7 linked regions of the Cricetulus griseus genome follow. The protein of the gene in region 5 interacts with the protein of the main gene of each other region in a pairwise test. Links are inferred from orthologs where the notes say so. Each region holds a gene or a part of one and is shown on either strand. Other genes may lie near its edges.

Region 1 (3,500 bases), on a different chromosome or scaffold from region 5:
CAAGTCATGGTAATCTTTATCTACACAAGACACATGCCTATAAAATTAAGGTTCTGCTCAAATAACCTTTTCTTTGAGTGATGATTCACAAGAGAACAGAGTTCTACTTTTGAATTAAGTAGCCCTGTCCATTCAGTGACTACTTTGCCTGAGAATATTTATCCATTTTTGTATTTTTCAAGTATTTGTCTTTCATAGATAAACAGAAAGTGGGAGGAGGGGAGAGAGAGGGACAGGAGAGGGTGACAATGAGGAAGGGAAAGAGAGAATGCAGAGAGAGGGGAAGGAAAGAGGACAGAAGACATTCATCAAGCATTTTCTATCCTTTAGTGAGCCAGATGCCTAAATGTTTTTTTAAAACATATTAACATCTTGGTTATAGTGACCAATGAACAATGGCTCTGTGCATTTTGAAGTGTCACCTGGAGAGTTTAATGTAAACTGGTATCTGTTTCTAGTTATGTTTCTGAAAAGGCAAATTCCTTCAGTCCTCAAGTGTGTCATTTCTGTTGTAATTAGAAGTCTCCCTGTGGCCTATTTTCTACACTCCCCAATATCCCTCTGAGGTAGGAAATGAGACGGCCAAAGTCCCACTGCTGTGCTGAGAGTTATAGAGGAGAAGAGACAAGGCATGCTAAGGGACTGTCCTGAAACCACATCCAGAGCAGTGAGATTACTGGGAAATGAATTTAGACCTCCTCACTTGCAGTGTCCCATATCTCAGTGCTAAGACATTTTCATAAATGAAGTACAAAGAAGCTGGGTTAATGGAACCAGAAAGATAAATTGGAAAATGATCCCCTCTTGTGCTTGAATCGCAGTGTGTTTGAAATAGAGTTTTTGTTTGGTTGTTTGTTTAATTGATTTTCCTTCTGTTCACCACATCTATAGTGAACTTTTAATTTGGACAATGATAATTATGTATAATGTTGAGGCACTAAAATCTGACTTTGGGGCAGTTTTCTTCAGGAAATGGACCAATTGTTTCATTTGAGTACTGTGATGAAGAGATTTTGGGAATGATTCTATGGCAGTTCGGATATGATACAAGAGAAGTTATTGCTGACTTGTTTCTTGCAGGAACAATATGGAACCTTGGTATCTGCTCAGCCTGAACTGCCCCTATTTTATACTCCTGTAGACCTAGTGGACATCAGTGTGGAAATGGCTGGGTTGAGGTTTCCCAATCCCTTTGGCCTTGCCAGTGCCACACCAGCCACTAGCACACCAATGATTCGAAGGGCCTTTGAAGCTGGATGGGGTTTTGCTTTGACCAAAACTTTCTCTCTTGATAAGGTAAGATAATATGTTTGAAATTACGTGCAAATGTCTAGCATGCATTTTCATTAAAATGTAAATATAAGATGGAATGCTGTTTTAAATCTGAAACATGATAATTACAGAATAGTTGAAAACATTAAACATTATAGTTTAAATTTCTTTAATTCTGTCTATCCCACAGATAGAGGGGTGTGGAATATATTCTCATTTTGTATTGTCTAAGAAACATCACAATATATTTTGCTGGTGATGTAGCTCAGTTAGTAAAGGACTTGCCTGTCAAGCACAGCAATCTAAGTTCAGTCCCCATCACTACATGAAACAATATGGTGGTGCATGCCTATAATCCTAGCACTTAGGGAATGAAGGTAAAAAGATCAAACATATGAGGCTATCCTCAGCTACATTTGAAGGTCAGTCTGAGCTATGTGAGAGCTGTCTCAAAACCCTACACACAAATAAAAAACTAGTATAGTAGTGATTTAACAATCACTAATCCCTGTTTTAATTGAATCAAATTACTTTAATTGTTTATATTAGGAGGATGTCATTTGATGTTCTGCTATTTGTATGTATTGTGTAGTGTTTTAACCACATTAAACATTTGTGTCTTAAATATTTCATTTTTATGCAGAAAGCTTTCAAACTGCTTTTATCTACCTCTTTGCAATGCAGGGTATGTTCCTGATATTTACAGTCATGATTTTGTGGGGTACCACACCAGGGTTGTTTTCTAAGTAATTTTAACCCAACTGACACACCTTTCCCCAAGCCTCTCTCTTCCTGCTGCCTCAGCCTTTAGTAAATACCATTCGACTCCTAATTACCACTTATCTATCTGTTTTAAGATTCCATATATGAAAAATTGTGTGATACAAGTCTTCCTTGTCACTGGCTTATTTCAGTTACCATAATGATTTTGAGTTCCATCCACATTGCTGCCAGTTCAAGATTCCATTTTTATGCTGAAAAGTACCCCATTGTGTTTCTGTACTATACTTTCTTTATCCGTGCATCACTTGATGAACATTAAGGAAGTTTCAATGTTTGTGCTATTGTGAACAGTGCAGCAATTAACATGGGAATACATATTTTTGGCATACTGATTTTGTTTCATTTGGATATGTAACCCAATGTAAGGGGGCTGCCTGATAATATGAGAGTTTCTATTTTTAATTCTTTGTTTTGACATTATTATTTTGTGATTTTAGGATGTGTGTAAATGACAACATATGTTTCAATTCAAAGTTAGGGAAACAATGGATTTAGTTTGCATAAAATCCCGTTATTCACTACATGTCTTAGAGAGTTTCCCACTGTAATTTGTTGATTGTGGTATTAAGATTTCTCAAGAATTTCTTAATAAAAACACCCCAACCAGTTTAATTCCATGTGACACTATGGTTTTATGCTTTTACAAGGAGAGCTACATATTTAGCAAATAAATGATTTTGAGATAAAATCTTTAGTGCAAAAAGCAGAGCCAGTGGGATGTCTCAGCAGGTAAAGGACCTTGCAGTCAAGGCTGGTAACTTGGGTTTGATTACTAGAACTGAGATGATAAAAGGGGAAAGTGATTCTTGAAAGATTTCCTTGGTGGCCACATAAGCCCTATGTCAAGGGATGCGCTCTTTTAAACACACACACACACACACACACACACACACACACACACACACACACACACAAATAAGCAAATAAATAAATGTAAGATAACTTTAAGCATAAAAGCCATGTAAATGCACACTTCCAAGGTTGGGTGACTGATGGGATAGAAGACAGACAGCATCCTTAGATGGTGGTGAGTTTGAAGTCTAATTTATAGAATGAATAGGAACATCTCATGGGCCATTTATTGAAAAAGTTTTGGATGGCAAACCCCATTAATGTAGTTAGTACTATGTTGCAGTTAGTAATAATTAATGTGTAAGAATGGGTAGGTCTAGTCACTAAAGGGAGTATCATTATTTAAATCAGCCTTATCCTTGGGCAAAGAAAATAGCAGAGAACTAACATGTGTGATTAGAGCTCATTCTACCTGCTTTCTTCTTTTCCTGGGATCAATAGCTGACAGTATTATCATTAAAGTATTACAGCTTTCTTTGTCTGACAGTTGTAGGGGACAGTGTAAGCCGTCAGGGCGTGGTCAAGCACACCTATAGCCACCTTCTAACAGGTGTGTCTTACACTGTCCCCTACAGACAGTTTTATAAGAAGTT
Region 2 (4,135 bases), about 170 Mb from region 5:
AAATCCATTTTATTTTAATTTAAAAATGTGGAGTATTGAATGTATGTCTGTATACCAAGCAAATGCCTGGTGCTCGTGGAGGCCAGCAGAGGCTGTTGGAGGTCCAGGGGTTGGAGTTACAAACAGTTATGAGCTGTCATGCAGGTGCTAGGAATTGAATCTGGATGCTCTGGGAGTGCTCCTAATTGCTGAGCCATCTCTCTGGTCTCCTATTTCCAGCAATAATACAGAGGATTGACTAGAAAGGCCAAAACTGGAAACAAAAGGTCAGCTATCAAAGGGTCAGTTATGGCTACAGCAGTTAGTTCAAGTGTGTGACAGTGATGTCTGATTTAGGGGAGGTGAGGGTATAACTGAAAGAATATAGCACATAATAAATATTTGAAAAATGTTTAGCATCTATAGCCACCAGGAAAATGTAAATCAATACTGTATTGAGATTGCACCTCATCTAGTCTGAATGGCTATCAAGAAAACAAAGAACAAGTGGTGGCCAATCTTGTTTGTCAGTGAGGAAACTTGCCACCAAGCCCAATGACCTGAGTTCCAGGCCCTGGGCCCACATAGTAGAAGGAATGAACCAGCTTCCATAAGTTGTCCTCTGACCTCCCTGTGAGCACAATGGTGCACGCTCCTCCAAATGAATTTTAAAAAGTAAATAAAAATGAAAATAAGTGTTGATAAGGACTTGGAGAAGGAGGAATCTTTGTACACTGCTAGTGGGAGTGCAAACTGGGGAAGCCACTATGAAAATTAGTATGGGGCTCCTTGAACAACTGGAACTACTCTGTGACCCAGCCATATCCCCCCGGTGTGTACACCCGGGGGAGTCTAAATCAGCAGCATGGATATATATGCCACAGAGACATCTGTTCATTGCTGCACTATGAACAACCACCAAGACATGGAACCAGCCTAGTTGGCCATCAACAGATTAGTGGATTTTTAGAATAAGTGTTATATAAACACAATTGAGTTTTATTCAGTCATAAAGGATGAAATTACACTATTTGCAGCAAAGTGGAGGGAACTGGAGGTTACTTTGAAAAATATGTGCACCATAGAAAAATCTCTCCCAAAAGATGACATACCAAATGTTTTTGTTGTTGTTGTTTGTTTGTTTGTTTGTTTGAGGCAGGGTCTCATTTTATACCCTTGGCTAGCCTGGAACTCTCTACATAGACCAGGCTGGCCTCAAACGCACGTTGATCTGATGTCCTCTGCTTCCCAAGTTCTAGGCTTAATGGTATGCACCACCACTCCCAGAAACAACTAAATGTCAATAGTGGCCTTCAGTGTGGGCAAAACCACCAATCTGGTTTATTGCTAGAGCATTTGTTCTTAATTCTATTACTTAAAAATGTTGGCTTTGGGGCTGGAGAGATGGCTCAGCAGTTAAGAGCACTGGCTACTCTTCCAAACCTAGGTTCAGTTCCCAGCACTGACATGGGAGCTCACATCTGTCTGTAACTCCATCTGCAGGGGATTCAACACCCTCACACAGATAGATGTACATGCAGGCAAAGACCAATGCATATAAAATAAGAATAAACAAACCATTAAAAAATAAAGAAAGGAAACGTTAACTTTGTTCTGGTAAGCTTGTCTTCCAATCCCGGAAGACACCCCCACCCCGTCATCCTAGACCAGACCTACATTCTCTGAAGTGCAATGGCCACAGCTATAAATGGATGGTCCGTAAAGAGATGTGAATGTTGGAATGTTGTCTGGGTCCTTGTCAGAGGTGCTTCTCTTAGGCACCCACTGCACAGAGTTCAGTGTCTCTAGGAGACACTCAGTGACTTATGGACCCCAGCTTCCTACCTGGATAACTCGGCAACAGTAAATTCTAAACACCAGATGGCAGTTATTATTAGCAGTAACTTGTCTGGAGCACCCCTGTACCCCCATGTTGTCAACACCCTGCCAGCGGGCGTAGAGAACTGGCATTCTGATGGCACTTGATGGCTTTCCAAGGGGGCTGGTCCTTGCTAGTAGCTGAATATGGTAACACATCTAGAAAACCCAATTGCCTTTTACAACTGTTTCCATTTTTATGAGGCCATTTGATTCTCTAAACCCTGCCTACAAACAAGATAGACAGAGGAGTAAAGAGTCTTCACGATTTGAAACAAGACTCTTGCTGAACGGAATGGATGACTTCATTTCTCTGAACTCCACTTCCCTCTGTTGAAGAAACTCACGAGCCCTCCTTACAGGCTGCTGGGAGGATGGAGTTGTCCTTAGCATGGCACAGTGGGTGTACTGACCGTACAGGAGTTAGCATGATTTTGTTAATGCCCATCTGATAGATGGCGAGACTGGGGCTTGGGGTGTAAAGTGACTTGACCAGGGCTTCAGAGCCAGGGTGACGGAGCTTGAAAACTGACCCAGGATTCTGCCTTCAGGGTCTCAGTTCATACCAAGCAATGTCATCTGCTCCAACCTCTCCCACCCTTACCTCCTTACCAGCTTCAGCAAGCCTTCTTCACTCTCAGCACAGTATCCAGGCGGGTGCTTCAGTTTCTTGCTTCTGTCCTGGCTTCCAAGTTGCTGGGGGCCAGCCTCATTTGCATGGGTTTCCCAGCTCTTGAGCACTCTCTGGCTGGTTTCCTCCTCGGGTGACTTTGGACTTCTGCACATACAAGAGACCTAGACGTTTGCTTCTGTGAGTCACCCTTGCTTTCTCTGAGCGGGTAGAAGGAAGTCCACTCATCCTTGCAAGCTTCTGTTCTGGAACGGGAGGGGCTCTAGCCTTCCTCTTGCTCTGGACTGACCTGTCTGGACTTGCCCTCAGCCTGACTTCAGGGAAGCCAGGGGATCCCTAAAGCCAGATACATGGCTTCTCTGAGGCCCTGCAATGAAGGCACACCAAGAGCTCTTGCAAAATACAAGATAACCCAGCAGGAAAACAAAACAAAACCAAAAAATGAATGACAGTTCAGTAAGCATAAGCCAGAAGTACCTGAATTCTTCAACAAGCCACTGGGAATCCAGAACCAGTGGCTTCTGCATACACACTAGCCATGAGGACAGGACTTCACCTCACCTGCCCTTGGGTTCTTCACCTGAAATTGGAGGGGGAAAAAAAAATCCACCTACTGGGGCTGGGGCTAAGAGTACTTACTATGCAAGTACAAGAACCTGAATTCAAATCCCAAACACTTGAGTAAAAATCTGGGCATGCCTATAACCCTAGCATTGGAGAGGGTGAAGGGTGGAGATTGGCTGGCTGGTCCTGGGAGCCAGCTGGCCAGCCTACCCAAACAGCAAGCTTCCAGGTTGATGGAAGACTCTGCCTCAAAAGAATAGAGCAGAAACATCTGATATCCTCCCCTGAAGGCTACATGCAACACACACACACACACACACACACACACACACACACACACACACACACACACACACACATACACACCTACCTACCTGCAGATTAAATGAGATAATACACAGAAATGTTGCTATATGGTAAATGGCACACAGAAGCACACAGTAAGCTTCAATTAAAAACTGTAACATGATCAAGTAAATAATGAAATACAAATGGAGCACACACACAGAAGTTCAAATGGAGACTGGAAGACTGGCCCTGTAATCTGTCCTATGGCCTCACCATCTTACAAAATGTATTCCATATGGCCCATTTTTGCTCCCTTTTGCCGGGGGGGGGGGCAGTTTGAGACAGCATTTCTCTGTAACAATCAGAGCTGTCCTAGAACTCACTTTGTAAACCACGCTGTCCTCAAACTCACAGAAATCCTCCTTCGTCTGCTTCTGCAGTGCTGGAATTGAAGGCACATACTGACACCACCCGGCTAACATTATTTTTGAACAGGGTCATTCATGTGTTTATGAAAGGCTTGATTTTGTAGCAAAAGCTCTCTTTTCCCAGCCATTTAGTTGCACCCAAAATTAAAGTATTACACTATATGCTTTTTGTGTCTCTTTTCAAAGATGTCTTGTGTGTGCACAAGCAAAATGACTGGGTTCTTTGTTCCTTCTCATCCTTTTCTCCACATGTGTATTCTCCAAGCTGCTTGACCCCTTGCTGCAAATGTCCTTACTCACTGGTCCTCACCATACCTACTGTTCTTGTTTTTGTAATGGCTATATTGTTTCACTGATGGCTGTGCCA
Region 3 (3,500 bases), on a different chromosome or scaffold from region 5:
AAGCAGGAATTAATATCCCACTTCAAAGAGAAAGCACAGAGGATCAAGAAGCTAGGAACAGGAAGGGCCTAGTTTTTATCGTCATGTGCTTTCTTCAATATGCAATTGCTATCCAGGCAGTCTGGAAAGTGAAAATAGACCCAACATATAGCTGGGCATGGTGAGGTATGTCTGTAATCCCAACACTGAGGAGATGGGGCCAGAAGATTAAGAGTCAGAGGCCAGCCAGACAAAATGAAGACAAAACACAAACTGAGGAGGTGGAGAGTAACAACTTGTCTACCTTGTGCAAGACCCTGGGTTCCATCTCTTGAACAAACATACATTTGTGTCTATGGATAGTCACATATACACATGCACAATCTACCCACTCCCTAACTCCCCCTCAATGATGTTCACATAAAGTCTTGTTCTAAAAGTCTGGTCCAAGACCAGAGGCATATATGTCCTCCTGGGATTGTTATACGTGGAAAATCCTGGTCCCCAGCCACGACCTATGATGTCTATCAAGCTCTGCAGTGAACTGGTACATGTTTAGATTTGAGAAAGTGCATATGGCAGAAGAATCCAGAATTGCTGACAATTGTCACGGCTTGCTGTTAGACTTGTGTCTAAGGCCAGGCAGACACCAGTTTTCCACAGAACTGACCCAGGCTGAGATGGGGTTGGAGAGCTGTGGGTTAGGTGATTTTACCATTGGATTAAGGGTAGATGTGGTCTTCACTACAGTGGTTTATCTTTTCATTACCATGGTGTAAAATGATATGCAATCTGTACACATCAAACTTGAACTGGTGTTTGACACTTGGGCTAGTCAGTCTTTTCTGTTGGGCATCAGGAGTGGCCTCTGGGCCCAGTCTTGTCGGTGGTCATGGGAATGGCTGATGCTACTTGCAGGCCTTGCCGCTCAGCTGGTTTGTTCCAGAAGCTAGGTGTATTCCTTGTGTTTTTGAATTAATGATGTTTTCACATTAGGATGGACTTATTAGGAAACAAAGTTTTAGGAAGATTTGTTAAAATCCCATAAAATCGGTTTAAATAGGAGGCAGGAGACATGTTACAAAGAAGCATTAAAAGAGACATGGGTAAATATTGTAAAGTTCCCAAGTGTGTGTCCCATATTCCAAAGCTCCCTAAATACAAACACAAATACAGTGTGAGCACACTTCACCCGACACTGTTCTAATGGGACCCTTGTTCCTTTAGGTGTCAGAATTAAGACAACAGCTTCGAATACGAGGCTTGCCAGTGTCGGGCACCAAGACAGCACTGGTGGACCGGCTTCGACCCTTCCAGGATTGTGCTGGCAACCCTGTGCCCAACTTCGGGGACATCACAACTGTCACCTTTCCTGTCACACCCAATACCTTGCCCAGTTACCAGTCCTCCCCATCAGGCTTCTACCACTTCGGCAGCACGAGCTCCAGCCCACCCATCTCTCCCGCTTCATCTGACCTGTCTGCTGCAGGGTCTCTGCCGGACACCTTCACCGATGCCTCACCTGGCTTCGGCCTGCATGCCTCCCCGGTGCCCGCTTGCACTGACGAGAGCCTGTTGAGCAGCCTGAATGGGGGCTCAGGTTCCTCGGAGCCGGATGGGCTGGACTCGGAGAAAGACAAGATGCTGGTGGAGAAGCAGAAGGTGATCAACCAGCTCACCTGGAAGCTGCGGCAGGAGCAGCGGCAGGTTGAAGAACTGAGGATGCAGCTGCAGAAGCAGAAGAGCAGCTGCAGCGACCAAAAGCCACTGCCCTTCTTGGCCACCACCATCAAGCAGGAAGATGTCTCTAGCTGTCCCTTTGCGGCCCAGCAAGTGTCTGGGAAGGGACAGGGTCACAGCTCCGACACCCCCCCTCCAGCCTGTGAGGCTGCTCAGCTGCTGCCCCACTGTGTGGAGTCCTCAGGTCAAGCCCATGTACTCTCATCCACGTTTCTCAGCCCCCAGTGCTCGCCTCAGCACTCACCCCTGGGGGCCCTGAAGAGCCCGCAGCACATCAGCCTGCCCCCATCGCCCAACAACCCTTACTTCCTGGCCTCCTCCTCCGGGGCGCAGAGAGAGAGCCATGGGGTCTCCTCACCTAGCAGCAGTCAAGGGTGCGCACAGGTAAGTACATATGACCTCGCCAAAGGGTGTCTCGGGAGGTGGGAGGTGGACTTCCACCATTAGAGAGTTGGGGAAGGTTTCCTAGAGGCTAAGCAGCGCCTCACTGACTCTAGGGTTCTTGCGCCTTCACAGCCAGTCTTTGCATCACCGCAGGCAAGCTTTCTCTGTAAAGACTTAGAAGGCAAATGTCTGGAAATCATAGTTCCTGCACCAAACTCCTAAGCTTTACCCTTGTAGCAAATACGCACCCACAGACAGCTTGTAATAATGCATAACTTTCCAATATAAAGTTATCTGCAAAATCAGATGCCAAGCAACATTAAGCTTGTGGGTTATTGTTTGCTGATTAATGTTCTCAAAACTGCTTTATATCAACCATTATCATTGCCCAAATCATTCTATCCAGAGATCCAAAAGGAAGTTGGGCATGATGGCACGGGTCTGGAATTCCAGCACTCTGGAAGCTGAGGCAGGGGATTGCTGTGAGTTTGCAGTCAGCTTAGGTTACATCCCAAGACCACATTTTGGGGCATGGGGTGGGGTGGGAGTGACAGTGAGAGCCTGTGTGTGAGAAAACATTTCTCCTTCTCCTACATCCTTATCAAATGTTTATTGGGACCTACTATGTGTCACACTCTAGTGGGGGCGGGTGAGGGGGGAACTCAACTCCTGTGGGAAGACAGGTGATGGGTGTTGAGGAAATAGAGGATCTGTCTTGTGGAGAGAGTAGAGAAGGGCTGGGTGTGTGAGAAGCCTGGAAGTTTGCAATCTCCACTAGAGGGGTCAGGAATGTTGAAGAGGAACCTTGGAAGAGGCCAAGAGGAAACATTGTGAATATCTTGGATGAAGGCATAGGAGAAGCAGCAGGTGAAAGGTCCCTGGGGTTAAAACCTAAGTAGAAAGCTGAAGGATCAGAAAGAAGGCCAGCCTGTGTCTGGGACAGAATAAGCAAAGAGCTGTAGGAGAATGAGAATAACATGTCTATACCCAACATGATCAGCAAAGACTTTCCTTTTGTTCATGGAACTAATGGATTATTAGAAAGTATATAGGAGACTATATGAAGAAGAAAGCTGCAGTGTCAAAAGATTATAAAATCTAAGAAGATGACTCACATTGGGTACCTGCCAAGGCAAGTATTAAGAGGAATGAATAGAAGCCATCTTGTCTACCATCACAGCAGCCCTGTAGCTCCAGTTTAGTGTTTTTCTTTACCATCAAGAAAAAATGAGATCCAGGAAAACTGAACTCACTGCCTAGAATGCCAGGAGTTGTTGATTTTAAACTCCATAATGAAATATCTCTACCCTGGGGGTGTGAAGCATGACTAGAGGTAACAAGTGCACTTACCTAACAACACTTCAAATCAATGATACCCACTCCTGAAAGAACATACT
Region 4 (4,167 bases), on a different chromosome or scaffold from region 5:
CAGGGGCTGGGCAGCCCAGCCAATACTGAGCAATGGAGCGTGGGTAGGGAGGGTTCACAGAGTCCACTCGCCGTGTTTTAAGGTTGACTCGGTAGTACTTGTCTGAAAGAGAGAACAGAAAGGTGTGTAAGATCCTGCCTGGTCCTGTCGCTGGTCCCAAGAAGGAAAACAAGGATTTCTCTCAGAAGTGACAGTGAACATCCACTATACAGGTAAGGTCACCATCTACAGGCTGTGTTCAGCACCCAGGGACCAGAGACTGCAGGAGAGACCCAAGGAAAACCAGCTTCAGGGATAGCAGGGGCTCCCACCTCCAGAGAAGAAATAGACGCTCTGAATGGGCTCGCAAGTGGCAGGTACGAGCCAGTTCATATCATAATCATAGTTGTAGTCTCCTAGCCCTCTCTCCTCACTAGAAAACAAAGAGAACCAGACTGAACGCGATGAGCGACGAGAATTCAGGCTGTGGCTGCTGCTGGGGCTGCGGCTGCGGCCACGCCCACGGCGTGAGCGGTAGCGTTTTCGGCTGCGTCGCCTAGACTTCTGCTTTTTGGCCTGGAAAGAGTGGGATGTGGAGCCCGAGATGTAGATGCGGCCAGCCATAGCAGCGTCCACTTTCCCTGGCACACCATGCCAGTCCCGGCTGATGAACTGGGGTTCTCTGACGCCGCCTGTAGCAGGGAAGGGGTTAATTACTTTGAGGATCCAGGCTTTAATTTCTCCAGCAGGACATTTATTTATTATTTATGTTTTTTTTAAACAAGGTCTCTCTATGTACCCATGGCTGGTCTGGAACTCACTATGAAGACCAGGTTGGCCTCTTAATTCACAGAGATCTGCCTCAGAGTGCTGGGATTAAAGGTGTGTGCCACCACAGCTGGCCCCAGCAGGCCTTTAGAGTTCATCTTGCCCAAGACACACAACAAGCTTCATGATAGAACTCAGTACCCAGCACCCAGGCCTCAGACTCCCTGTCCAGTGCCTTTTCCTGTGTCCTCAACCCACTGTATCCCTTGTGTCTCTGCCCCCTCCTAAATCCCTCATCCACTGCCCCTCCTTGTGCTGTGTCAGGCAAAGTCCAAGGTATGGGGTCCAAGTGGAGCCAAGCCTCACCCCCAAAAGTCAACAGAAGCAAAGTCTAGCCAGAGCAAACAGCTCTTGATCGATAGTGCCACCATTCCAGTCCCTCCTCCCCCTGAAGCCCCCACTGTCACAGTCTGGTCCTACTCCCTCTGTACCAGTGGATCTGCCCCAGAAGAGGAGTTCAAAGATGTCCTCCCAGCTGTCCCGCTGCAGCAAGGCAAAGTGCTCAAACACCGCTGACAGAGAGCTGCCTTCACAGTCCTCCTGGCTGGGCTGCTGCTGGAATTCATACTCCCAGTACTGCTTCCCTGGGGAGCAGGATAGCTGGCATCAGAAGGGCAGATCTGACTAAGGCTGGGGTGCTCCGAGGCAGGGTGGTAGCATACCCCAAGTCCCCACCCAGGGAAGCAAAGGAGAGAGCAGGGACTCCTCCACCACCTGCCCCTTCACCTCCCACCCAGAGTACCCTTGAAGAAGTAGACTCTCTCCCGGCCACTGTAGCGGTGAGCAGGAAGGGCTAAAGCAGCATCGACATTGTCTGGTATGCCACTGAAGCCTTCAGAGATGTTTCGGGGATAACCAGGGTCCAAAACGCCATCCTCAAAGCGCCAGTACAGACTGCCCTGAGGGGCAGGGAAGATGAAAAGGGTGAGGACATACTGCTGGGCAAAGAGGCAGTCCTACATCCTAAACTGGCTCTCAGCAGCTTCTGGAACCCCCTACTACCTCCTCCTCACATCTCCCAGCACCTTCCATGATACCCTTTACCTTGACTCATGGACTTGGGTCTGGTACCTTGAAAAGGTAGGTCTTCCCCTGACAGTTGATTCGAGTGAAGGCAGCATCAATGGGACCTTCGATGCCCCAGACATCTCGGATAAGTTTGGGGTACCCAGGCCTCACTGCTGTTTCATCTAACTCATAGCAGTACTGCCCTAGAGAAGGGGAAGCTGTGTGAGAAACAGATGCGCCAGGGCAGACTCTCCTCCCCCCACACCAGACCTGTCCATAGAGGCACCTCGGAAGGCAAAGAGGGAACCGTTCTTGAGGTCCGTGAAGGCATCAAAGGGCTTCCCACTACACAGCTCTTCCTCTGGGAAGTCAGAGGTCCCTTGAGCAGTGGTGTCAGGCCTTGAAGTCACCTCCAGGTAGCCCACTTCAGGCCCTGAGGTGCTTGCCTCCAGTGTAGGAGCCTGTTCCTCAGGCTTTAGGAATGATGTTGGCTCTGAGGTTTGAGGCTGTAAGTCAGGGTGTAAAGACGTGTTTTCCGGTTGTACATGGGTGCTGGTGCCATTCTTGGTCTCTTCCGTGTAGTCATAGGACCAATACTCATCTTCTGGCATAGTAAACACATCCCCCCGAGTCACTGCAGGCAGAGCGGGCAGTAGTGAGTTTCCGGTCACACAGGCGATCCCATGCCCACCCACCAGGGCTCTGAACAAACCTTGGGGCTTGCACTGTGCCACATAGTCAGCACAGCAGCTCTGATAGTAACTGCAAAGCTCATCACACTGACACTTCTTGTTGGCCACAAACCCCTGGTTGCAGCGGCCCTTGCATGACTCTACGAGAGGGAATATTAGTCTTTACAGCCCAGGCCAGACCACCTGCCCACCCTGCATCGCCCTAGATCTCCACCAATCACCCCCACACCTTGGTCAGCCAGAGAAACCCATGCCAGCAGGGTTAGCATCAGAAAGGGCCTCAGAGGCGCCATGGCAGGCCTCTAGCTGAGGGTCTGGCAAGCTGGGCTCGGAGCTTCCAGAGTCTCACCGTCCAGCCTGGGAAAAGAATCAAACTGAAGAAGAGTTGCTATTTTACTAGGTTTCTGCCTCTATTTGCTCATCCTCTGGCCCAGCCCTATTGCCCTCCTCCAAACACAGCTGCAGCTAAGGGTCACATTCCCAGAACTCCAGCCCTAGGAGAGCTGAGAAGTAGAAACCTTGCCAAGTCCAGAGTCAGAAGGGTCATGGGCAGCTGGGAGAGCATGGTGGGTTGAGAAGGCAGAAAGAAAGCATGTGTTATCACCCTGTGAGCCAGTTATGTTAATCTCTCTGAGACTTTCCTTTTATAAAATGGGACCATGGTGCCTGACCTCATCAGGTGTTGAGAAATTACATGAGCCAGAACAGACAAAATGCTTGGTGCCTGAAGTAGCTTCCAACTCATTCCCATAAGCAGTTATCGATTCGTTGTTTGATCAGGCCCATCCCCGACTAGGTGTTTGTCCCATCCTACCCCCACTTCCTAGTTGGATATTTGGGGCAGTGGAGTGGAAGGAGGGGTGAAGGGAGAGCTGCCAGGCACTCTGGGGGAGGTTTCTTTTCTTATCATAAAAGAATAAAGCTTCATTTCTAGCCTCTCCTTGTGGAAGCATGGTTCCCTCTAAGCTGGGCTCCACAGCATAGGAAGCAGTGGCTCCTAACGCTTTGGCCCACAGTCCATTCCTTTCTTGAATTTTAGATTTATGTATTTTATTTTGTGTATATGAGTGTCCATGCACCATGTGCATGCCTGGTGTCTGTGGAGGTCACAAGAGGACTTTGGACACCCTGGAACTGGAGTTTGAACAGTTGTGAGCTGCCATATGAGTGCTGGGAATCAAATCCCGGACCTCTGCAAAAAAGAGTGTTCTTAAAAACTAAGCCATCTCCCCACTCCCAGAGCCCACTGCTGAGGCCTCCACTAATCCACTGAATCCACCTTCAGTGACCCCTTCTAAAAAGAATAAACTCATTGGGCATATTTTTAGACTTATATTATGAAGTGTGATCCCGCTATGAAGAAGATGCTCACTGGCACAGAATGCCAGGTTTCGTGTCATGTTTCAGGCACCAGTATGCTTCTGAAGCCCCTAAGTTTTCTGTTCTATAATCTGTCTCTTCTCTATGAAGCACTAAATCTTACTCCCTACAGACATGTGAAGCCTAAGTGGAAGCAGGCATTAAAGGGCCTTAAGAAGCTCACTGCGGTTCTTTAACCATCCGAAGGGGATGTGGATCCATTCCTTCAGTTTGCTTCCACATCACCCGGGACAGGGTGAGCAGTGGGGATCGAGGACCTCTCTTTCCAGCCCTTCACCTT
Region 5 (3,500 bases):
TTGAGAGTTTCTATTGCCAGAAATGAAATATGAGCTCTTAAGTGAAAGTTAGTGTTTTGTAGAACATGGCATCAATCCCCCATGAGCTTGGCTGATTCCCATATGTGAGTTTGGAATGAGGTGGATGGACACACTAAAGAATGTAATTCTTACACAGTGCAATAAAATACGTCAGTTTTTGAATTGCTGCTTGCTTCAGCAACCCAGTGTTTTTTGTATGACCTGTATGTGATTTTACAAAATTGTGTGTATCACCTTCACAGTGTAAGAAAAGCAGTTGAACTCTAATGTAACTGTGTGTTGATAATGTTAGAATTTGTGTAGTACTAAGAGATGTTGACAGTATTTTGAAAAGGACAATTAAAATACTTTCCCCAGCTACACGTCTGTGAAGCTACAAGTCTGTCTGCATGCATTTGCAATAAAGTAAACAAACACCTAGATGCAAACCTAGCTACCTTCTGGGAAGCTAGCAGCTACTGGGGCTGGACAGATGACCCAGAGGTTCAAAGCACTTGCCACTCTTGTGGAGGACTGGAGTTCAGTTCCCAGCTCACAACCTAATGTAACTTCAGTTCCAGGGAATCTGATGCCCTCTTCTGGCCTCAACAGGCATTTAGACATGTGTACATACATATACACATAAATAAAAATAAATATGTTAAAATGTTAAAATGTTAAAATTTCTAAAATGTTTTTAGAAATGAATAACAAGCAACACTTAGGAGGCTAAGACAGTTGAAACTGAGTTTGAGGCTAACTTGGTCTATAAATTAAGTTCCAGGATAGCCAGAGCAATACAGTGAGACTGTGCCTTAAGGGGGGTGGGGGTGGGGCACAGGACACATGGATGGACTGCTGTGGAGTTTTGTCAGAACCTTACACTGTTGAGCTGCTATCCATGGTTCCATTGTCTTTTTACTATCAGGAATGTTAAAAACACTTGTTCCAAGCTGAGCAGCAGTGGCACACACCTTTAATCCTAGCACTCTGAGTTCCACCAGCCCGAGCTACAGAGTGTGTTCCAGGACAGAAACAAATAAATAGAAAAGAAAGAAAGAAAACATGTTCCTTACTTTTGTTATATCTGATGTTAAGAAACTTGTTACCTATGTAAACTGTAAGCACTTAAAACATGAACTATGACTCAGCCAAAATGCATGCCATATGGTATCACTGAGCCAGATAATGAAAAGTATATCTTGGTTGGGTTTGAGGTCTTCCTATGACTCCTAGGCTGGCCAGGAACTCATTGTGTAGCGGAGGCTGTCCTTGACCATGGGATCTTCCTGCCTTAGCTTCCCAGGTACTACCTAGCTAAAATACATCTGTTGGTTATTGTTTAATACAGGTCTTTCTTAGCCTACTTAATAGGTGTTGTAGTCAACCATGTCTACTTACAACCCTGCTATTTGTTAGGTAAATTAACCAGAATCTGTTTTAATGACTTCAGTCATTATCTTGCCAATGGATTAAATGTCTAGCAGTCAATTAGCATGCAGCTTAGTGAACTGAAGTAGTGTGGAAGCAAAATATAAAAATTGAAACATTTGCATTCCAGTAGATGGTTGTGCAAGTAAAATTGGATTTTTTTATTTTAGTTTATCAACCCTAAGTTTTTTAGAAAACTAGATAGATATTTCACAACTTTCAGGTGGCTTCAATAGGTAATACTTTAAGATGCGTGTGGTGTTTGATGTTTGTTAAACACTATTAACTTGATCTAGGCAGTGTTAGTTTGCCTTATGTCACTCCTAATAATGTTAATGGTCATTTTTTTCTCAGTAAAATTATAAAACTTAAACATATTTCCTTCCAAAACTTCCTGGTTTTTCTTGTGTTCCTTTCTGTCAGGGTATAAGAAGACAGTGAGTGACACGCATGAGAATGGGGACATGGGGGCTTCAGGTGAAAGCCCCCTGGATGACAGCACAGCAAGAGCAGCCGATCTGCACAGCCTGCATCATAAAAAGGCTTACTAATCCATCCCCAGACGCTCGTCAGACTCTTGAATTGGGGGCACTAGGGAAGATGGTACCAAGATTGCACAAGATCAAGGGAGGCTGTGTGTTGCCTAAAGACAGGCGGGAACCTCAGGGCTTCGTGTGAACAATTCTAAGTGCAGAAACCCCTATTTTCTGTGGTAGACCTTAATTAGCTATTGCATGGAAGGCCATTTTGATTTTCCTGGACTCTAAGCACCAAAGCATGTGTTTCCCAAGGGGTATTACTAGGCTCTTCAGGGCCAAGTGGATGCTAGTTCATGACTCCTTTTCATATGTAACAGGACAATGCTAACTGGATTTTCTAAGTACCCTTTAAATAGAGCAGAATAGAGGAATCCACAACACATATTCCCTAAGGATAAACTAGAATTTCAGATGACAGAGCTCGACTCAGTGAATTGCAGACATTTTTGCTTAACTGAAAAAATTTCTTTCAGGTTTTTTAAAAAGGTGTGTTGTACATTCCGGGTATCTAAATTAATTCTTCATGATCATTTGTTATAACGAGTTTGCTTTCCAGTTTATTCAGCTGCAGTACAAAATAGTTTTCTTTAGGCAATCCTGTATCAATCAATCAATGCTGCACTAGAAATAGTTTCTGAGAAGTTACTGTGCATTTTACTTTGGGGTTTAAAGGAAACTCAGACGAGTGTGAAATACCTGTTGTCAATTATGTTGATCTGTGTGCATGGCACTGGAGCACTACACTGTTAGTGTTTACTCTCAAATGTTCATACATTTTGAGTTGTTCATAAGCTTTGGCTTGTGATAGTCAGGACACATTACTGTCATGAATTACATTGTGTTCAAACTGCAGTTTGCTTTAAGTACCTGACTTGCCAATCATTTAAAAAACCAGGAGCCAAGGTGGGCAAGACAAGGTAAAGACATTTTGGTACAGTGACCGTATTGGTTTTCATATCAGTATATGTTTGACTAAAGCAATACTAATATGTAAACTCTGTAATGTGTTAGTTCTCCTGTATCAGAACTAAGCACAGAGTGCCTACTCCCTCCTTCCTGACCCACAGACCATTGCACCTTGCTGGGCAAAGTCAAATACTGTCTTTAAAGAGGTGGTGAATTTTGCTATGTCACTGTCTTAAAGGATTTACACCTAAGGGAATAGTAAGCGGGAGAAGCCTCCATATAAGGCTTTCAGGATATTATCATTTAGGATAAACCTTTCTTGGGATGCTTGTTTTTCCCTAGATGCATTATATATTTGTTCAAAGTTAAATCTATAAAATGTATATACTTTATTTTGTGATTTTTTGCTATTTATAAATTTAGTTTGTAACTGTTACTCATTTATGGTCTGTGTGGGTGGTTTCATTCTTCAGAGTATCACCATGGTAACTGGTCACTAGAAGTGCACTTGGTCTGTATATTGTTACTAATGCTGAGCTACTTTGTAGTGTAACATTGCCTGTAAGCAAGGTTAGTATTTTAATTGTACAAATGAATAAAAAGTTACATATTATCAGTTGCTCC
Region 6 (4,029 bases), on a different chromosome or scaffold from region 5:
GGTGGCACGGAACCCTCCTCACCCCCACCCTGTCTACCACCACCAAGAGAATGACTAGGAAACTTCAGGTACTTTATGCACACTAACATCTGGCCAATGTAGGGGAGGATATCTGCACTTCCCAGGACCTCGAATTGGGGTGATGCGAGGGTCTTTATCTCAGCAGCAAACTCTTGTGTGCTGCATGACCTGGTATGTACATACATGGGCATATGGTTAATTGTAACTGGGTCTCTGCATAAAGACTTCTGACATTCACATGTCATGTTAAAAAAAAAAGTGCATGGTTAAAACTCCATCACTGCAACAAAGAAATGAGGTAGTATGAAAAGTTAAAATTAGAACCCCCCCAACTCCCTATCTTCAACTGTTGTTAACATCTTCTCTATCAACAGAACAATTTAAAAGTTGGTGGTATCTAAGTGAGTTCCACTCCTTGCCTTCCGTAATTGATGGGTGAGGGCAATGAAAGAATAGCCAAACTAGGCTATTCCCAAATCTGAGAATCAATCCTGGCTGCACTGGCCTGAACACCTTTGATGACAGGGAATGTCCTCTGGCCCTTTGAATCGCCAGTACTTCTCAGATGTTCCAATAACAGTTTAGAAATCAGGACCACTTCAAGCCCCCCACCCCCCAAAAAAACGCTCAACCCACAAGATATTTCTAGACGTCAATATAGAATCTAAGAGGTACAATTCCAAAAGGCAAATCTAAACCAACAACACATATTTGGTATATAGTATCTGTAGTGGTCTTTCTCTTCTTTTTCTTCTTTTTCTTTTCCTTTCTTTCTTCCTTCCTTCTTTCTTTCTTTCTTTCTTTCTTTCTTTCTTTCTTTCTTTCTTTCTTTCTTTCTTTCTTCTTAAGCCACCCCCACCCCGCTTGGAAAATAAAGAAGAAACTGAATGACTGATCTTCCCCGAGAGCCACCGCAGCCCTTCAGTGGCTCACATCTCCTCAGGGTCCTTAAGTCTGCACAACACAGAAACTTCTTCCCTAGACTTCTGGCCAAATAGCAGAGCTGAATTCTGCAAACTTCATCACCTTAGCCCCAGAGGAAAGAAAGTGGGTCTGGCGAGTCGGTAGTGCTGGGTCAGGGAGAGAGAAAAAAACGCCTTAATCCTTCAGGAGAACAGCCCGGCCCTTCTGGTTTGCAAACACTAGCCAGAGGCTGAAGGAAGAAGCCTTTCTTTCTTTTCTGCACAATAATCTCTCCAGAGAAAACACAGTCACCTGGCCCTCCAGGGGGAAGAAAGACTCATGCTGAACTCTTAACCCTAGCCACTCTGCACCCCAGGGAGTGGCTGAGGGTTGTTGTTTCTTTCCTTTTTCCCTGTGGTTCTCTGGTAACACCACAAATTACGTTTTCAGGGACTGGAGTCCCAGAGTGCAATGATGTTGTAATAAACATAACGAGAACCAAATGCCTTCCCATCATGTTAGATGATGCCATTTCCCACCAATCAGGCTCCTCGGGCAGGCAGACCACTCACCAATGAGGGACCAGACAGAGGCTGTGAGGGGGGAGACCTGGTCACCAGCAACTAAAAATAAGAGCGCTTCACCATTGGCCGCCGCCACTTTGCAACAGGAGTTGGGACCCACACACCAGGCAACGCACATAACGACCCATACAGTCAAAAACTTTAACATCCCGGGGCTTCGCACTGGTCTGCATTTTCTTTTTGGTTTGTTTCCTTAATTTGCTGACTTAAGAAAAGACCTGATCCCGAAGGAGCCCCTGGAAGACACACCCTCCCACCTAGACACCTCAGCTTCCGAAGGCCCTTCGAAGTCACACATAATTGGCGAAAGGTGGGGGTAAAGGAACCGGCCAGAGGCCAAGGCACTTACCTGTCCAGCTGTGTCATAGAGTCCCAGCAGGTACTGCTTGCCCCCGACGGTGACGCTGACTGCAAGGACAGAAGTGGGGGTGGGGAGAGAAGCTCACAATGACCTGAGGTCGAGCAATTTCGTTACCCACGGACCCCCCCTTCCCCAAACACGGGGAGGCGTGTGGGTGATCCCTGGGAATGAACACCACCTTTTTAACGTTCAGCTCGCTGCCAAAGTGGCATGAGATCTAGGCGAAATGTGCACCCCTGCTATCCACCCCTTTTCTCCCAAGTCCCATAGCCACGTCTACCCTAGTATCCCCAGATGTCTCCCCAACAGGGGCTTGGGGCAGTAAGGGAAGCAACCGCGGGAAGGTCAAGGAGGGCGCTCTGGGGACTGAGAAGTGTGGGAGAAGGGGCGAGGGGGGAGACAGGGAGGGGTGGGAGTTGATTTGAGGGGTGACTAGAGGCACAGCCTCGTCTCGGGGGTGGGGCCGCCAGGCAGAGGGCACGGCGGGGGAGGGGAGCACGCTCAGAGGAGGCAGCCAGGGGGCTCAGCCAAAGTTGCTCCAAAGTTCCCGGTCCGGGATCAGCCCCTCAGTCAGCAGGACAGAGGCTTACCTGCGTAGTGGTCGAAGACAGTGGGCACGTACTCCTCGGGGAAGGCGTCGTTGGCATAGCTCATGAGCAGGCACGTCTTGCCCACCGCCCCGTCTCCGACCACCACGCACTTGAGCATCAGCGCGCCGGGCCCGTGAGCCATACTGCGGCCGGCCGGCCTCGGGGCATGGTCTCCCCGGAGCCCCCGCCCCGGCCCCGGGCTCAGCCCCAGCCCGCCTGGGGGGTCCGCCGTCGCCGCCGCTCGGCGCAGCAGGGCGCCCCCCTGGCCCCATGCAGCGGTTCCCCTCACCGGAGGGGAAGGTGCGGCGGGCCCGGGGCGCTGCCGCCGCAGCCGCCGCTGCTTCAATCGCTGCCCCGCTCCCCGCCCTGGCCCCGCTCGCCGCGTCCGCCTGCTGGCCCGGCCGCTCGGCACCCGAACCCGCTCCCCGGCCCGGCCTCCCCAGGAGGATCCGCCGGATCATAAGACTGTCCGGCCCCGGGGGAGTCGGCAACTTTGGGGAGGGCGGCGGAGGGGAGGGGAGGGGGGGCCAGGCGGCTCTGCCCGCCCCGCACCGCCCCGGCCCCCGCCTGCCTGGGTCGGGAGGAGGGCGGTCTCCGCTGCTCCCGAGTGCCGCGCGCCCCGTGCCCCGCGCTCGCACCCGCGCCCGCCGTGGGGGGTCCTACCGCTCACCCTAGCCTGACTCCCCGCAAGGCGGGCGCGGAGGCAGTGGAGGAGGCGCCCGGGAGCCGGGAGGACGGGAGGGGAGCTGGGGGAGGGGCTGTCGGGCAGCGGCTCAGGAGGAGCTCAGGGCTCCTCGCGAAAGTGCGGCCAGAGCCCGGAAGCGTCTGCAGGCCCTGGTGCCGGGAGGAGACGTGGAGGCCTTTCGGGGAACCACGACGACTTCAACGGTGACGCATTTGTGCAAAATGATACAGATGTATCTATTTAAATTCCGTCTGGAAGGCAGGAGCCATCCTATCCTATCCGCCTGCAAGTGCTCCACGCAACTAGAAATCAGGAACAGCAGCCAAGAGGGTTATAAAAATAATTAATAACAATAATTAGAAAGCCGCGCGGAGGCTGGGAAGGTGGTAGGTCTCCTGGCTCATTGCTTCAGCATCACCGCCCCACGCCTTTCTTTCTCAGCACGAGCTTGAGTCATTTTCTATGAAATCGGTGACTAAGAGAGATGCAGCATATTGCACCCCCAAGCTAGCCACAAAGAGGCGAGCCCTCGTCAGGAGACCGCAAATGTTGTTTGTGCTCCCCCTGCAGGCGACATTGTCCGAGGCTTCCTTTCTTTCCCAAAGGTCTCTCCAAAAGTATTCGTTTGTGATCCTTGAGATACGATGATGTGTCCTCATGCTCTGAGATTTGGCCAGGGATCCAGGGCCAACCCTGCGCCTCTGTCTGGCAAGTCCGGAAACACTTGTCTGGCCAGGACCATTCTGTGGCCCACGGCTGCTTAACACTCACGGCACTGGAGCGAAGGCGCAGACTGCGCTGACCCTACACCACACGCCATCCCCAGCTTGCTGACAGGGAAGTCGCTTCCATTCACGGATTCACAGTGGTAGAAATTGCTGTGCT
Region 7 (3,500 bases), on a different chromosome or scaffold from region 5:
ACTACAAGAGTGAGTCCTGCCCATGGCCATGCCCCACATTTGCCTGCAGAGCCTAAGCTGGTTATTATTGCTCAGTGCAGCCCAGCTGGGATGCTATCACTAGCCACAGCTTTCACTCCTCAACACCTTGGCTGTGTTTTACAAGGGTTGTTTGGTTCTGGGGAAGGATCGAGAGGCTGGTGTATGCTAGGCAAGTCCTGGATCACATCGGCTCCCATTGAGAAGGGCCTGTCTCTCAGAATCCCAGTCACATGGGATTTTGCGTGACAGCCAGCCTTCGGGAACTCAGAGGTCTTCCTGGCAGCATTTCTTCATGTTCTGCACTTGTACTGCCTGCTGACTGGAACTCTGTTTCAGAGGGGAAGGACGGGCTCTGCCAGAAGCTGTCAGTGCCATGTGTGTCTCCCAAACCCCAGAAGCCATGGGAGAAAGATGCCTGGGAGATTCCTCGAGAATCCCTCCAGATGGAGAAGAAACTTGGCGCTGGGCAGTTTGGAGAAGTGTGGATGGGTAAGGAGCTGGGGCCAGAGTCCACAGGGCCATGATGGGAGGGCCCTGCCAGTGCGGGGACATCACACAGCAGAGGGACATTTGAATAATAACCCCAGAGGGCCACTCCTCAGATAACAAACCAAATTGTCTACTGGGGAATCACTGTTTTGCCTTTGTGGCCAGACTTGAGGGTCAAAGAATTTCCCTCTAGGAGTCCCGAGTCCTGGATGGTGAAGGCCCTTTGTTGTGTGGAATTGACATCCCAGGGCCTCTTGGGATGGTGAAAATTCACAGTGGTGGAAAGAACTTGGGTTTTTAGGTGAGTCCAATGCTGGCAACTGAAGACTAAGCTGTTCAGATCATGAACCACGATGCCCAGTGACATTTCAGATGTGATGGGGTGCCAGCAGAAAGGTCTGGCACCCCTCTGTGGTCCTTGTCCCAGTACTTTAAGAACAGCAATTCCTGTTTCATGGGGAGGTAGGTGGTCACAGTGTCTGACCCACTGTGTTAACACTCCCCTGTGTGGCAGATGGGAGGGAGGCAACTCGTAGAGATGCAAACATTTGACCAGATAAAGTAAGTTGTTTGGTTGGTTGGTTGGTTTGGTTTTTCAAGACAGCGTTTCTTTGTGTAGTCTTGCCTGTCCTGGAACTAGTTATATATATCTGCCTGGCCCTGAACTCTCCTACCTTTGCCTCCCAAGTGCTGGGGTTAAAGGCATGGGCACCACTGTCTGACAATAAATTTACTGATAGTCTGCTATATCAGGTGCTGGATAATGTCAGGTGCTGAATTAAAGAAGGAACCATGAGGAAATGCAAGGAGGAGAGACAGATCTGAGCAGCAAAGTTGGGGCAAATTAAAGCAAACAAACAAACAAACAAAACTGTCCCCATGTCGTCACTACAGGAAGCCCACAGATCTGGATTTGAGCTTCCCAGCATCCAAAGCACACATGGAAAGAAAAGCAAATATAGAACAAGAGCCATAAAATGAAGCAGGGTGGGATGGACCAAGAGAACAGAGTGTGCCAAGTCCCCACAGCTGAGTGGTTGAGGGACACGTACATGCAGGGTGGTTAGTGTTTAAAAGCCAGAGAGAAGCCAGTGAGATGGTTCAGCAGGTAAAAAAGGCTTGCTGCAAAAGTCTGATGATCTGAATTCAGTCTCTGGAACCCACAGTGGAAGGAGGGGACTGGCTGGCAAAGACTGTCCTCTGACCTACACACACACACACACACACACACACACACACACACACACACACACACGTGCACACAAGACAGATACACACATGTACACACAGAGAGAGTAATTAATTTAATTTAATTGTTAAAAAGAAAGCGAGAATAAATTTAGTGACCCAGCTACTATATTGAGACAACTTAGTAAGACCCTTTTTCAAAATAAAAAGTGAAAGGGGGCTGGAGACATAACTCAGTGGTAGAGCACTTTCCTAGTATGAGGTCCTGGCTCAGTCACTAGTTGTGTGTATTGGGGGTGACCTTGGTGGATGACAAAGACAGAAAAGCAAGCATGGCCAGGCCAAGCAGAGTCTGTGGGGCATAGTGAATCTGGTATTTATTCCAAGGCAGTTAAACACTGTGTACAGGCTCATGCCACAATCTAATTAGTGGTTTAAGGGTTGCTACTGTTATTTTACAGCGCTGGGGATCAAATCCAGGGCTTTGCATGTGCCAGGCAAGTGCTGTACCACTGAGCTCCAGTCCCAGCCCTTGTTTTTTGAGACATGGGCTGGTCTGGAGCTGCCAGCCCTCCTACTTCATAAGCTTAGGAGTTCTAGGGTGACAGGTGTGTGCCCCGAGCTCAGATAGAAGGCTGTCTTTCACTCTTGCAAACAACCCTTCCTTCTGAGTGAGTACTTATTTTCATTTCCACGTCGCAGAAAAGGAAAACACAGCCGGGAGAACTGAGGTGCTTTGTTCATTTGCTCTCATCCAGGAAGCAGGGAGGGCAGCTGAGGTCAAAGTGGCACCCTCTCTCTGTCTTACAGGACTGGGTGGGCAGGGAGGGCTCCACAGGGCTGCTGGATCCTAACCCCCTTCCTTGCTCCATGCTTTCTTCAGCCACCTACAACAAGCACACCAAAGTGGCAGTGAAGACCATGAAGCCAGGGAGCATGTCTGTGGAAGCCTTCTTGGCGGAGGCCAACCTGATGAAGACGCTGCAGCACGATAAGCTGGTGAAGCTGCATGCCGTGGTCACTCAGGAGCCCATCTTTATTGTCACCGAGTTCATGGCCAAAGGTGCGTGGGCTAGGACGGACTGTGGTCCAGGCAGACTTCCAACAATTTCTCACAAAGCACCACAGTCAGTCCAGCCTCCTGGCTCACGGAGTGGAATCGAGTGAAGGGTGGCTTGTGGAGAGGGAGGGCGGGGGCTTCAGAGCAGGGAGCCGGCAGAGCCTCTGGGAAAACAGGAGAGGCATGTGGCTTTCTTGTGACTTGTACCTTGGAACCTTGGCGCTGGGCTGTAGCGAAGCCCTGCTTGGAGTCCTGAGGGACAAGAAGCCTCATGGGGACAGACACCATTGAATGAATGTTCTGCCTCTGTCACCTCACTTCACGCCGCAGCCCACCCAGCCTGCTATGTTCAACCCACAGAATCATGGGAAATGTTCATGTTGTCACTCCAGGCTCCTAAGCTTTGGGCTGCCCTACCTGTGATCATTCAGCATATCTAGGATTTCATTATGTAGCCCAGGCTAGCCTCAATCTCACGGCAGCCCTTTGCCTCAGCCTCACAAGCACGTATGTCTCCACACCTGGCTTCTCGGGGTTTCTTTTTTAAATTGTTGTTGGTTTTGTTTTTATTTATTTATTTTAAGATAGCTGTTCCACAGTCATTTTAAGCCCTTGCTCATTTTTTTGGATAAACATCTCACACAACATCATTCAATGTGATTTGAAATTTCAAAACCCTTTCCACTTTCCAAATTGACAATCAGCTGGCTTCCTAAAGCCAGGCCCAGGGGCACCCATTCTC

What was found.
Region 1: the proteins of Gopc (region 5) and Dpyd interact in a two-hybrid assay, tested with the Homo sapiens proteins (2 studies listed by BioGRID and IntAct). The link is inferred for Cricetulus griseus from reciprocal best matches to the Homo sapiens genes GOPC and DPYD.
Region 2: the proteins of Gopc (region 5) and Rnf183 interact in binary tests that used the Homo sapiens proteins (3 or more experiments, as listed by UniProt). The two-hybrid records come from large-scale screens. The link is inferred for Cricetulus griseus from reciprocal best matches to the Homo sapiens genes GOPC and RNF183.
Region 3: the proteins of Gopc (region 5) and Myocd interact in binary tests that used the Homo sapiens proteins (3 or more experiments, as listed by UniProt). The two-hybrid records come from large-scale screens. The link is inferred for Cricetulus griseus from reciprocal best matches to the Homo sapiens genes GOPC and MYOCD.
Region 4: the proteins of Gopc (region 5) and Vtn interact in binary tests that used the Homo sapiens proteins (3 or more experiments, as listed by UniProt). The two-hybrid records come from large-scale screens. The link is inferred for Cricetulus griseus from reciprocal best matches to the Homo sapiens genes GOPC and VTN.
Region 6: the proteins of Gopc (region 5) and Rhoq interact in a two-hybrid assay, tested with the Homo sapiens proteins (2 studies listed by BioGRID). The link is inferred for Cricetulus griseus from reciprocal best matches to the Homo sapiens genes GOPC and RHOQ.
Region 7: the proteins of Gopc (region 5) and Hck interact in binary tests that used the Homo sapiens proteins (3 or more experiments, as listed by UniProt). The two-hybrid records come from large-scale screens. The link is inferred for Cricetulus griseus from reciprocal best matches to the Homo sapiens genes GOPC and HCK.

The regions. Positions count from the first base shown.
Region 1 is NW_023276806.1:39,350,756-39,354,255, reverse strand, and holds part of Dpyd (dihydropyrimidine dehydrogenase [NADP(+)]), read left to right. Parts: intron 1-1,080; coding exon 1,081-1,296; intron 1,297-3,500.
Region 2 is NC_048595.1:83,435,990-83,440,124, reverse strand, and holds the start of Rnf183 (E3 ubiquitin-protein ligase RNF183), read right to left. Parts: upstream 2,801-4,135; 5' UTR 2,644-2,800; coding exon 2,470-2,643; intron 1-2,469. UniProt on the Homo sapiens protein: Acts as an E3 ubiquitin ligase catalyzing the covalent attachment of ubiquitin moieties onto substrate proteins. Triggers apoptosis in response to prolonged ER stress by mediating the polyubiquitination and subsequent proteasomal degradation of BCL2L1.
Region 3 is NC_048600.1:79,089,679-79,093,178, reverse strand, and holds part of Myocd (myocardin), read left to right. Parts: intron 1-1,206; coding exon 1,207-2,103; intron 2,104-3,500. UniProt on the Homo sapiens protein: Smooth muscle cells (SM) and cardiac muscle cells-specific transcriptional factor which uses the canonical single or multiple CArG boxes DNA sequence. Acts as a cofactor of serum response factor (SRF) with the potential to modulate SRF-target genes.
Region 4 is NC_048600.1:91,887,869-91,892,035, reverse strand, and holds the start of Vtn (vitronectin), read right to left. Parts: upstream 2,801-4,167; coding exon 2,737-2,800; intron 2,648-2,736; coding exon 2,528-2,647; intron 2,450-2,527; coding exon 2,102-2,449; intron 2,019-2,101; coding exon 1,879-2,018; intron 1,707-1,878; coding exon 1,550-1,706; intron 1,392-1,549; coding exon 1,239-1,391; intron 672-1,238; coding exon 312-671; intron 103-311; coding exon 1-102. UniProt on the Homo sapiens protein: Vitronectin is a cell adhesion and spreading factor found in serum and tissues. Vitronectin interact with glycosaminoglycans and proteoglycans. Is recognized by certain members of the integrin family and serves as a cell-to-substrate adhesion molecule.
Region 5 is NC_048595.1:256,537,883-256,541,382, forward strand, and holds part of Gopc (Golgi-associated PDZ and coiled-coil motif-containing protein), read left to right. Parts: intron 1-1,854; coding exon 1,855-1,982; 3' UTR 1,983-3,500.
Region 6 is NC_048598.1:88,602,082-88,606,110, reverse strand, and holds the start of Rhoq (rho-related GTP-binding protein RhoQ), read right to left. Parts: upstream 2,801-4,029; 5' UTR 2,602-2,800; coding exon 2,460-2,601; intron 2,243-2,459; exon of another isoform or gene 1,917-2,242; coding exon 1,858-1,916; exon of another isoform or gene 1-1,857. UniProt on the Homo sapiens protein: Plasma membrane-associated small GTPase which cycles between an active GTP-bound and an inactive GDP-bound state. In active state binds to a variety of effector proteins to regulate cellular responses. Involved in epithelial cell polarization processes.
Region 7 is NC_048599.1:26,878,472-26,881,971, reverse strand, and holds part of Hck (tyrosine-protein kinase HCK), read left to right. Parts: coding exon 1-9; intron 10-357; coding exon 358-510; intron 511-2,581; coding exon 2,582-2,761; intron 2,762-3,500. UniProt on the Homo sapiens protein: Non-receptor tyrosine-protein kinase found in hematopoietic cells that transmits signals from cell surface receptors and plays an important role in the regulation of innate immune responses, including neutrophil, monocyte, macrophage and mast cell functions, phagocytosis, cell survival and proliferation, cell adhesion and migration.